3 linked regions of the Drosophila melanogaster genome follow. The protein of the gene in region 3 interacts with the protein of the main gene of each other region in a pairwise test. Each region holds a gene or a part of one and is shown on either strand. Other genes may lie near its edges. The genes, in order: CG1648, bves and sll.

Region 1 (3,755 bases), on a different chromosome or scaffold from region 3:
TAAATTCAGTGTGGCCAGATTACAGTATTACCATACATCACCATTTGGCGCTAAATTGAAAATGAGTTAATAAAAGTTTCAGTAATAATATAATCAACATAACATCAGTATATCCAAATATATACATATAATACGCTTTGCTTAGTGGCACCCCCACCAATTGAAAGACCACAAATCTCATTCGAATCCAATATATTAAAAACACATTTGCAATGTGTTGTGCAAGAGTTAAAGGTACTTAATCATACATCTCTACATAAACAGAATATACGTATATTAAAAGCATACTCAGCGCAGCTGTATATAAAATATCAAATGCCTCAAAGTAACAAAATTCGGCCGAAGAAGAAGAACGAAGGGGTTAATTACACTTTGTACGGATACGGACAGAGGATGTGCTGAAATGCTCACATCGAAAGCAGCGGCTGCAAAATAATCCGTCCGCGCGATATTCAAAAAATATGTAAATATATATATATATATATATTGTGTATATTCAATTGAGGATTTAGCAATCACATTACTGGCACTCGTTACATTGAAGCAAATTCCTTTCTATTTTTTTTGTTTTTGTATCTAAAGCATTTTCACATCAAGATATTTTAGGTGGCACCGCGAAGGGAGACGCCTCTACTTCTGACCCAGATGCAGCTTGCCCAACAGGGCGTTGGCCTGCTGTCCGGCAGACTCCTGGGCCTGTCCGGCCGCATCCTGGACGGTCTTCTCGACGGACTGGCGCTTCTGGTCGACATACTGGTTGGCCTCCTGCAGCTTCTGGTCCACCGTTTGACTGGTCTGCTTCAGTGCCCCATCGATGGCGCCCTCCGCCTGCTTCAGCTTCTGGTCCGCCACGTTCTCGGCGGCCTTCACGCTCTTGTTGATGGCGTCGTTGGCCGCCTTCTTGGTCTGGTCCACCGCATTGGCGGCCGCTCGCTGGGAGGCCTCCGCCACATTGGCCGCCACCTGCTTGGAGTTCTGGGCCACGGCCGCCGCCTGGGCCACCGTGTTGTCCACCGCCTGCTTGCCTTGGTTGACGGCTCCGGCGGCACGGTTCACACCCTGGTCAATCGCCTGTCCAGCCTTCTGAGCCTCCGCGGTGGCCAGAGCAGCGGCTTCCTTGGCTGTATGATAAAGAGAGATATTAGTGGGAAAAATTCTTACAAAATATCTTTAAAAGTGCTCCTAAAGATATTTATTGAATTGGTCGGGCTTTGCTCCAGCATAAAACATAGCATTGATGTTCTGTTTAGTTATAAATCTCTAGCACATTAAATTGCTTTTCACAATTATAGAAATATTTCAATATTTATGAAGAAATGTTTTCAAAAATGCGAATCTTATTCTTGGAAACATGTTTTACGTCAACGCGTCACTAAAGAATTCCATTTATTAAGTTCTCTTGTGTTTGATATGCTTAAAAGATTTGCGTTTTAGATAAATTGGAAATGGAATGCTAATGAGAAAACATTTTTAGCAAGAACTGAAAGTTGATTTTGAAAGTTATCTCAAACGGGACTCATTCAATTCTTCGTTGCAAGAGTTTTTGGAAGTCTTTAGAATTAATAACTCCAATTAATTCTCTAAGACATCTTTTATGTGTTACATTCATTATTTTTTGGATGTTCGTTACTCACCCGTGCTGGCGGCCAACTGCTCGGCCTCGCCCTTGGTCTGCTGTACGGACTGGCCCACCTTCTTGGCCTGCTCCTCGGCTAGCTTCTGGGCCTCGGCAGCCTTCTCGTTGGCCAGCTTCTCGGCCTCATCCTTCTTCTTGCTGAAGAGGTTGGCGGTCTTGTCACCGAAGTTCTTCAAGGAAGCTGGGGATTGAATGAGGAGTGCATTTTAGATCCTGACTGTGCTGGCTGGATGGGATTACTTTGGTTTTGGCGACTAGGAAACATGCTGACTGGCCCTCTGAATGCTAACTAAGCTCTGGCCTGGCGCTAATTATAATTTATAGCCTGATTGCAATCAGCAGGGTGGAGCGCCGATCAGATCGAAGATGCGAGATTTGAGATTTCAGATTCCAAATTCCAGACAGGTAATTGCCGAAACATAAACAAAGCAGCTGGAGCATGAACTATTTACATGACTAAATCGGATCGATTAGACTGGGACACTTTCCTATTAATAGAAACTGCGCAACTAGGGGCTGTTGAAATCGTGATCGCCAGCCCCATGGCGTCAGCCTTAAAATTCGAGACTTGAGACTTATATTCGCAATTTAATAGAAATTAACGAGCGCCAGCTTTTGCTGTCCCCTCGAATCTGCATTCACTGGGAGTGACGTGTGCGTCCACTCAAATAGAAACATTGTGCCGCTCAACTCGGAACCGGGTGCGAATCGGTTGGGCGAAACGGAAACGGGCGGAAATAGCCGAGGAATTTCTTTGTAATATACAGTATGCTTGTATGCGAATGAGGCAAACAAAGCTCGAGTATTCAAATTATTCGGCGTATGTGATGTCATAATGGGCAGCCGGCGAATGAAATCGCCCCCAAGTTTCTAGTGCGGTCTATTCACGCTTTCTGATTGTGATCGGGAATGTGTTTATTCTGATTCGGTTCTCTCCGCAGAGATACTTTAATGGCCCCATACACTCGGCTCATTTCCAAATAATTTAGTTTCGGCCAATTTCGCATTTCGCATTTCGCATTTAATGAGCCAATCGCCACCGCAGGAGCCGAAAATTGTGCGAAAATAATAGTTTCTATTCTACGCTTGCTGGGTATCGAGATTATGGAATGTGTGGGCTCGGCCGAGGTGTTGAAAATTACTTTTACTGCTCAAAAAAAACAGGGTGAATCAAAGGGAATTCAGACATTTCAAATGCTAATGGCTAATGGCTAAGGAATGTATGTATGTGGCATTGGACTTGCTTAACAATCTAGAATCTAGAATAGCAATTTAAGTGGAAGGAATCGTGCAATCTACACTGTACAATATGTAACTATATGTATAGAGATGCATGCTAAGTATATTGTGCTGTTTTCCAAATTAAAATCGTATTTAAAGATACTTAAAATACATTCGTAGAATGATAAGTTATTAAACTTAAAAAAGGTGGCCTTACGTATAAGGCAACCGCAGTGTTTAATATTCCCCGCCAAATCCTTTGGATATATGTACATATATATCTTAATGGCTTACACACGCGGAATTCCTAAGGCCAGCGGCCCTATTTAAGGCATTTGCGTAATACGACGCATTTTGTTCTTCAGTCTTTATTCAAAACTGTGGCAACTTGTGGTCAACACTGAAAACCGGCTAGAAGCATGGCCAAAAGGTAACACAATAAGCCCAGATTCTCTCACAGCCTCTGGCGTCGTTTTTGTTTTGGTTTTGGTTTGGTTTTAGTTTTGGATTTTGATTTTGCTCTCTGATTTTGTTTTCGTCGATGTCGCACTCGCAGCTGAAATAATGCGCAGAAGCCTCGGATAGAGGAAAACCTGTAGCTGTAGCTGTAGCTTGGGCTACATGGGAACCCAGCTCGGAACGGACACACATACGGGCATGGAACGAATATCTATGAGTTACTGCGATTTGAGGTCTGCCGACTCACGTTCCACACCAGTTCTGGATGCCTTAAAAAAAAGAGCTACAATCCGTGATGAATCGATGGAGCTACTGGGGCCGCCGTTGTTGTTGCCATTGCTGATGATGTCATGTGAGATACAACTGCACAATCGAGATACAATATACGAAAGAATTATATATGTGAGAGTAGCGCGCGTGGCAGAAAGGGGTGGCGTGG
Region 2 (3,755 bases), on a different chromosome or scaffold from region 3:
CATTACACAAAGTAGTTACACTCACCAGCATGTGTTCGGAGCTCTGGATGGGTTGGAATCCCACAAACGAGATCTGCATCGACAGAATGGTGCCGACGCAGTATAGCGTGCTGTATGCTATGTAGATCCTGTGCGAGAAACGTCCGGTGATCATCAGCGCCAGCACGTGCAGCGGGATTAGGTTAATCAGGAAGACATAGCCACCCCACGAGGAGACCATATAGAAGTAGGCCAATGCCGACATAGCCGACCAAAAGATCGTGCCCGTCTTTACCGCCTTGATCCACAAATAGTAGGTGAAGAGCATGCAGAAAATGGCGATGCCTTCATTGTCGTACGATCCCGCCACGGATCGAGAGATATACCCGGGAACGATGGATATCAAAGCGGCGGCCACCAGTCCAGCTCCAGTGCTCTAAAAAGGGGTAAAGGGGGATCATAAGAACCACGTGCGAATTTTAACCTCGAAAGGATATAAAAAAAAAAGTAAAGAACGGTGGGACGGTGGCTTACGTGTATCTCCTTTGTGAGGGCGTAGGTCACCAGCGTGGTCAGCGAGGAGAAGAAGGGCGCCAGGAAGACGCACACGTTCCGTATGTCGATGGTCACATTGAGCAGCCACATCAGGCGGTACAGGGCCGCCGAGGTGAGCATCAGCCCGGGATAGATGGTGCCGCCGATGATGCGGCCCAGGGGATACCAGGCGCGGTCATCGAACCAGTTGTGGAACTTGTAAAAGCCCTGCTCCGCCAGAAACCGCGTGGTGCGGTAGTTGAAGTACGGATCGAACTCATGGATTACGCTTTCGAATCGCAGCACAGAGAACAAGCGTGTGGCAAATGCTGTCCAGAAATGCAAGAGGAAAAGGAAGTTTAATCGGCGATGGCAAGAGGAAGACCAGCAGCTAGTGATGGCACATGCCAGCGTGTATCAAGCTATCGATATTCTAGCAGGGCTGGCAAGTTGATATTCTACAACATGGCAATCGGAAGATGTTTATAGCTATGCATTTGTTCAAATGCAAATCAAGGAATTTATAAGCTAGGAAATAAGGAATAATAGTGCTGCATTGCGTAACTAAGCCATTATATGCTCTGGGTAATTTCACCATAAAGTGCCGGCGGCACATCAAGCTATCGATAGCGAAGAAGCTCGCAGCAGATGCGAATGTTTGACCTTTTCACAACGCCCACTCGGCTAATGCCGAATAAGCGCTGTTTACTCACATAAAACCGCTGCCAGGATGAGAATGGCCAGCTTGACCAGGTGCTCCTGTTTGTCCCAGGTGAGCAGTCCCCTGGCGACGCCGCCCACGTCCAGCGTCATTTTCCTTGCTCTTCCGCCTGCCGGCTTTTTTTCGGCGCTGCTTAATTCGATGCAAGAGTCCCTAAGTCACCGGTGCGAGTTGTTGACTGAATTCCGGATGTCCAGGATTACTTGTTTTGCCCCACCGAAGCACTATTACTTAGCTTTTTGCACAAAACAATGGCTGAAACTTGAATGCGACGGGATCGCAAACTTGCAATTCGTGGCAAAGAGCGGAGAGTGCTATCGATTATCGCGTGCTATCGCCGGTCTATCGGTAATAGGGGTGACAACTCTGACCGCTGGCGGGTTTTATTGTTTCCCTTTTAACCACTTCTTTTGGCTGCTATTTGCGGTTTATTCGGCAGTTAATTCTCGATTTATGATTAGTTACTATTAGTGAGTCATCAAAAGCACGGCTGGTATTCGAATCGGCAATTCATAACCGGCTGTTCCTGGGCTTATATCCCAGCTGTTTTCGACTCTCCGTGGGAGCGAGCACGAGTAGTGAGCAGAGAGCGAAAAACACATTTCAACCACCACACAGTGGGGTACGATTATTATTTTTTAGAAAGTTACCAAAAGTTGTCTAAATACGTTTAGACCAAAGATGTCAACTACGCCAAAGCAACCGTAAGCACAAATAAAAAAGAAAAATGTAACAATTTTCAGATAAATCAAGGAAATGTAAACAATCTTAAAAAGTTGTCAGCTAGTATGCAATTGCGACCACTGTGCACCACGAAATTCGTTTTCATTGCGGGAGAGCGAGTGAGAGAGAGGGCGAGAGAGAGCGAGCTACAGCCGTTTAAATTGCCATATATTTCCCATATAAAAGCACCGCTGCTTCGTGTTTTCATTGCCTTTTAAAAAAATCTCGAACAAAATATGACAAGAAAACATCGGATGAATCGCCGGGCAGGAAAATCACGGTTTCCACTGAAAAACTACTGATAGTTATCACATATCCGAAATATATGTATTTTCAATCGAAACGAGAACCAAATCCCCGAAAAAACGCGAATCGGAGTAAATACAAGTTGACTTCTGCTGGTAAATAGAAGAAAAATTTGTACCTAAAACAATGAAAAACTCACGTGTCAAATATTTAAGAAATTGTTCTCACTAATACATGGGCAAGCCCATTCCTATTTGCGTGTATGAGATTTGCTAGTTCAAATCGTTGATTTTTTTTAGTGGCAGCTTTGTTATGTGCAATATATACATAGATATTTGCATATGTATTGTGTGTGTGTGTATTTACTTGCAGCGTTGTTGTTGCTGTTTTTTTTTTAATTGAAGCCGCGCCAAAAGTAATTAAATAATAACGATGGCGAGTGTTTGTTTGTGTGTAAAGTGCAGCAAGAATGGTGAAAAATCGAACATCAACACGCTTTTAAAAATGCATGTGTTATGTATGTGTATATATCGGGACGTCACTGTGTGCGTGCGGGTGGGGGCAGCGACGCCGGCAGAGGCAGCGATTGCAGTTGCCAGCACGCATTCAAGAAGAAGAAGAAGGAAATCGAATGTATGATGGGAGGGCGTGGAAGGGGGGTAGGGGAAAGGAAGAAAAGGAAAACAAAAGCAACAAACTCCAACTTCTGCATCTGCTTCTTCGTTCTCTCCTCCTTCGGCCCACCACTCACTCACACCCCACCCACTCTCTCAATGTGTGTATGTGGGTGTTTGCATTTGCATGGCATTTCTGGCATGCAACTTCTATGTGTGTGTGTTTGTGTGTGCGTATATTTATGGAAGTTGTGTGCCTATAGGCGAGAGAACGAGAGGGAGAGAGAGAAGATCGGGGAACTACTATTTATTATTATCCAAGCTCCCAAAAATCGAATATTTTGCAACAAAAGAAGTTAGACTCGTGTTCTATTAGGAAAAAATCAATGAAGTGACATTCTCATTTCCGATTTTGAGACCCAATTGGGATGAATTGCTTTCGTAACTTCCAACTTAACGATCTTTCCAAAGATCTAAACTACATGAAGAAGGGGAAAATGGGGATGAAATTCGTTTTTAAAATTTCTATTTAAAAATATATTGGGTCCAAAAATACTTTATCAGTGGGGAGAATAGCTCTGAAATGAGTTTCCAATTCCCGAATTCCACTTCAAAGATCTGAGGCGATAAATAAAGACATTGCTATGCAATTCAAAAGTCTCATAATTCAAATGAGAGCCCAAAAATAACGAACGAATTATTCAAAAAATAATTATGCATTTCAAAAATAACTGGTGCGTATTTTTGCTATGAACTGAGAATAATATTCTTTGGTAGAAAAATCTGAGAACTACATATATGTATAAATAACATATTGCTTTGCTTTGCAAATTCTTCTCTAAGTCTAAACAAACCGTAAAGTTAAAAACCTATCTAAATCCAAACAGTTGGATAACTGAAAGCCATTTGATATCGCACCTAAGGCAGCATTCCGATAA
Region 3 (3,755 bases):
GCGATTTCGTGTGTGTGTACGTGTGTGCGTGTGTGTGTGGGACGCGACCTTGAGCAGAAGTAGCGCACTTAATGCAGCCGCAAGAGCAACCCCTAAATTGCCAGCAGCCGCAAACAGTGGTGTTCACGATAATAAAATCACAGCAACGAACTACATATACTTATTAATGTAATAATAATTATTTTCTTTAAAAATAATACGAATCTCAAACTTAACTAATAAGAATTCACTGAAAGAAGCCAAAAAATATGCTATGATGTCCTATGCTTCCTAAATATATTCCCGAAAGGGTAGAAATCTATAATTTGAAATGCGCTGTCCCCCCAAATTTTAAACCTGATACCTTTTCAACATCAGGATTCGTATTTAAATATGAAAATTAATAACTTGTGCTACATTTCTAGCCGCAACTGTGAGTTAAACCCACCGGGGTGGGTGCATCAATGTAAAGACGTAGTAATGCCGCTCCCGCTGGCCGTTCTGTTCGCCTGGTGCACTAAGGTTGCTCCTAGTTACGACGTAACTGTTAACCGGTTTGGCCCGTCGGCAGCGCTGCTCCTGCATGTTACCGTTATGTAATGGCCTCGACAATGGTAACGTGAAAGAACCCATCCCACTCGGTGGGTGGGCCAGCGGGGCAGGCCGTACGCTTTACTCCGCCCCGTAGATCACGCCCTAGTGGGGTGACATGCGCAATGGCATCGAGTGGCGTTGGGTTGCCCACTGCGATTCCTGGTCGCCTGGTAATCCTTGGGCGTTACCTTAAGAAGGGTTAAACCGCTGATGGACACGTGTCTGTCGAGTTGAATGTGCTGCCGCTGCTGCTGCTGCTGAGGTTCTTGGCCGCGTTCTTGGCAAAAATCACAAAGAGCCAGTCCGGCGGTGCCGTACTCGTTTTGGGCGCCACCCAGTGCCCGTACTCGCTAATTGAAACGCTCCGCGGGACTCGGAGGTTGCCGGTGCCTGTGACCCACCCACTTGGGCGGGCAGAATCGCGACCTGCCATCCACAGGGGCGTAGTCCGTGCCATCGTGTTCCTGTGCCAGTGGTTGTCAGTGCTGCATAAGTTCTGGCTGGAAAGTAGACAGATGAAGTAAATTTGATTACTTTTTAATATAGTGGTATGTACATTTTATAAACAGATAATTTTAAATTCCACAAGTTTTGTATTAAGATTTCTCAAAATAATTATTCATGTAAAATTGATTTGATTTTAAATAAACCTTCTCATTATTTGTTTTATTAGGTTTTTAAATAGCCAAATCATCAGCACTAGGGGTTGCACAGCCATCGAAACCCACCCCTAAAGCAAGGAATGGCAATGTCAAGCGACACACCCCTCGCGCACGCACAGACACACGCACACATGGACAGGCAACGAGTCCTTTCGATTTCATTACGTTCATTATGTGAGGGGTGTCCTCTGAATCACACATTCCACACTCCTCCTGAAATTGATGTGCGCCTGGTATTAGACCTCAAGCGGAATTTCCTTTCGTTTGATTGTAAGTTGTGGGAACGTGCAACAGCATGTGTGATGAAATTCAATTATTAAAATATTACTATCTTACCATCTATTATTACCATCTTATTATTGAATACAATAACTAAATATTTTTGTATAAGTTAAGTAACTTTTTACTTTTGTTAATTACCAGTTTTATTATTATTATTTATAACTAGATACAAAGAAAACAGCGATAATTAAGCTTATCTCGATAGTTATTACCAGCGATTACAAATTTTCCAATTGGTTTTAACAAACAGTCCATCCCTCTTATAATCTATTTTAACGATTTAAGGCATGTTTCAAGGCTTTTAATATGCAAAAATGCACAAAAACAACAAATAAAATTACTAATCCGTTTCATACAAAGAACAGCTGACAAAAAAAAACGACCGAAACCTAACGGTAAATAATTCAAAAGATTAGGGAATACCCCAAATGGTATTTACTTTTAGACCGTGTGGTATTTTCTATCGTTATCGGCGCGGTCATACTGGTAACGTATTGGTTACTATTATAAAATATTTGGCAATCTCGTTCTACTCGCTGGCGGCCAAATAGCTGCAGAATGTTTGAGCAGCTGGCCTGAGAGCTAGTGCCGGCTGCCCGAGCCTAGTACCCCGGACGTCCAGAACATCTTGAAGCTCCAAACGCACCGCACGCACATCTGGCAGCCGATTGTAAACAAACTCGGGATATGGTAATTAGATGATGCCGATTTGGAGTGTGCGAATCATGCAAAAACTAGTTTTCAGAGCCGCGCCGGTTGTTGAACTCTTGACACTTGACTGGTAATAGATTATCGCCCGCGGGTTCAATAGGAATCGGAGAATCGGTCGAGTCAGCAGCACCGGGCATTCAAACCGAGAGAGCCAACGAAACGCGCCACATGTACGCCTATAATAAGATGGGTCGGGTTCCAGAGCTTGTTATATGGTGAGAACCCAACGAAGTTGAAAATCAAATTAAACTAATCCCGCCCTTAAAATCTGAACAGCTCCTTCATAGTGGTCACCCTGCTTGTCATACACTTCTTCTCGGATCTGCTGAGAGCCTCCCTAGGCGGCTACTACAACCAGGATGTTACACTTTCCCAGCTGGTTGAGTCGCAGAACTCGGACTACGCATGGTTCCTTAAGCTGCTGGTCAATTGCTTTGGTTATAGCTGCGTCTTTGTGCCGGGCTTCTTGATCTACAAATATGTCGGCAGGATTAACTACCTGGAAAGAGGCAACAAGACATTCCTGCACAAGGCTATCAATATGTGTATCACGGGTAACTCTGGATACGATCAGTTGGATGCAGGGACCAGCACCGCGGATAAGGATCGTCCGGCAGCCTCTACGGCACCAAAGCGAACGAGTTCCCAGGAGGCCGTGCAACTATTATGGTGCTTTGGCGGCCTGATGATCTCCTATCTTACCTGGGGTGTACTGCAGGAGAAGATAATGACTCAAAACTATCTGAACTTCACTGGAGAAAGTGCCAAGTTTAAGGACTCTCAGTTCCTGGTGTTTTCCAATCGTCTGCTGGCCTTTCTCGTGGCGCTGGCCTATCTACAATGGCAGCCCTCACCTGTGCGACACCGTGCACCTCTGTACAAATACTCCTATGCCTCCTTCTCGAATATAATGAGCGCATGGTTCCAGTACGAGGCCCTGAAGTTTGTCAACTTTCCCACCCAGGTGCTGGCCAAATCGTGTAAGATTATACCCGTTATGCTGATGGGCAAAATCATGTCTAAGGCAAAGTACGAGAGTTACGAGTATGTGACGGCCCTGCTCATATCGCTGGGCATGATCTTCTTCATGAGCGGCTCCTCGGACAGCAGCAAGGCCAGCGGAGTGACCACGCTCACGGGCATTTTCCTGCTCTCCATGTACATGGTCTTCGACAGCTTCACTGCCAATTGGCAGGGATCGCTCTTCAAGAGCTACGGCATGACTCCGTTGCAGATGATGTGCGGCGTCAACCTGTTTTCCTCCATTTTCACTGGAGCCTCGCTGTCCATGCAGGGAGGATTCATGGACTCCTTGGCATTTGCTACAGAGGTAAATATATATAAAGATATCAAGCTCTCAATTTATGATGATATCCATTTTAATCAAAATAACGTAGCATGTTCTGAAATTGAAAGAATATTTGATTTGTTTGTGTTTTGTGGTTTGTGATTTGCATAACCCAAATTGCAAAATTATAACAAAATAACAATAGATTTTAAAAATTTAACGTTTTTTCAAGTAGCTGA

Evidence for each region.
Region 1: the proteins of sll (region 3) and CG1648 interact in a two-hybrid assay, tested with the Drosophila melanogaster proteins (one large-scale study listed by BioGRID).
Region 2: the proteins of sll (region 3) and bves interact in a two-hybrid assay, tested with the Drosophila melanogaster proteins (one large-scale study listed by BioGRID).

Annotation. Positions count from the first base shown.
Region 1 is NT_033778.4:9,810,848-9,814,602, forward strand, and holds CG1648 (uncharacterized protein), read right to left. Parts: upstream 1,928-3,755; 5' UTR 1,902-1,927; coding exon 1,877-1,901; intron 1,818-1,876; coding exon 1,635-1,817; intron 1,122-1,634; coding exon 631-1,121; 3' UTR 472-630; downstream 1-471.
Region 2 is NC_004354.4:21,052,385-21,056,139, forward strand, and holds the start of bves (bves), read left to right. Parts: upstream 1-1,578; 5' UTR 1,579-1,938; intron 1,939-2,161; exon of another isoform or gene 2,162-2,358; intron 2,359-3,755. Other genes in the region: Stt3A (catalytic subunit 3A of the oligosaccharyltransferase complex), read right to left, coding at 26-415, 514-842, 1,227-1,326.
Region 3 is NT_033777.3:17,604,123-17,607,877, forward strand, and holds the start of sll (slalom), read left to right. Parts: upstream 1-1,983; 5' UTR 1,984-2,207; intron 2,208-2,255; exon of another isoform or gene 2,256-2,262; 5' UTR 2,263-2,396; coding exon 2,397-2,443; intron 2,444-2,504; coding exon 2,505-3,558; intron 3,559-3,755. UniProt on the Drosophila melanogaster protein: Mediates the transport of adenosine 3'-phospho 5'-phosphosulfate (PAPS), from cytosol into Golgi. PAPS is a universal sulfuryl donor for sulfation events that take place in the Golgi.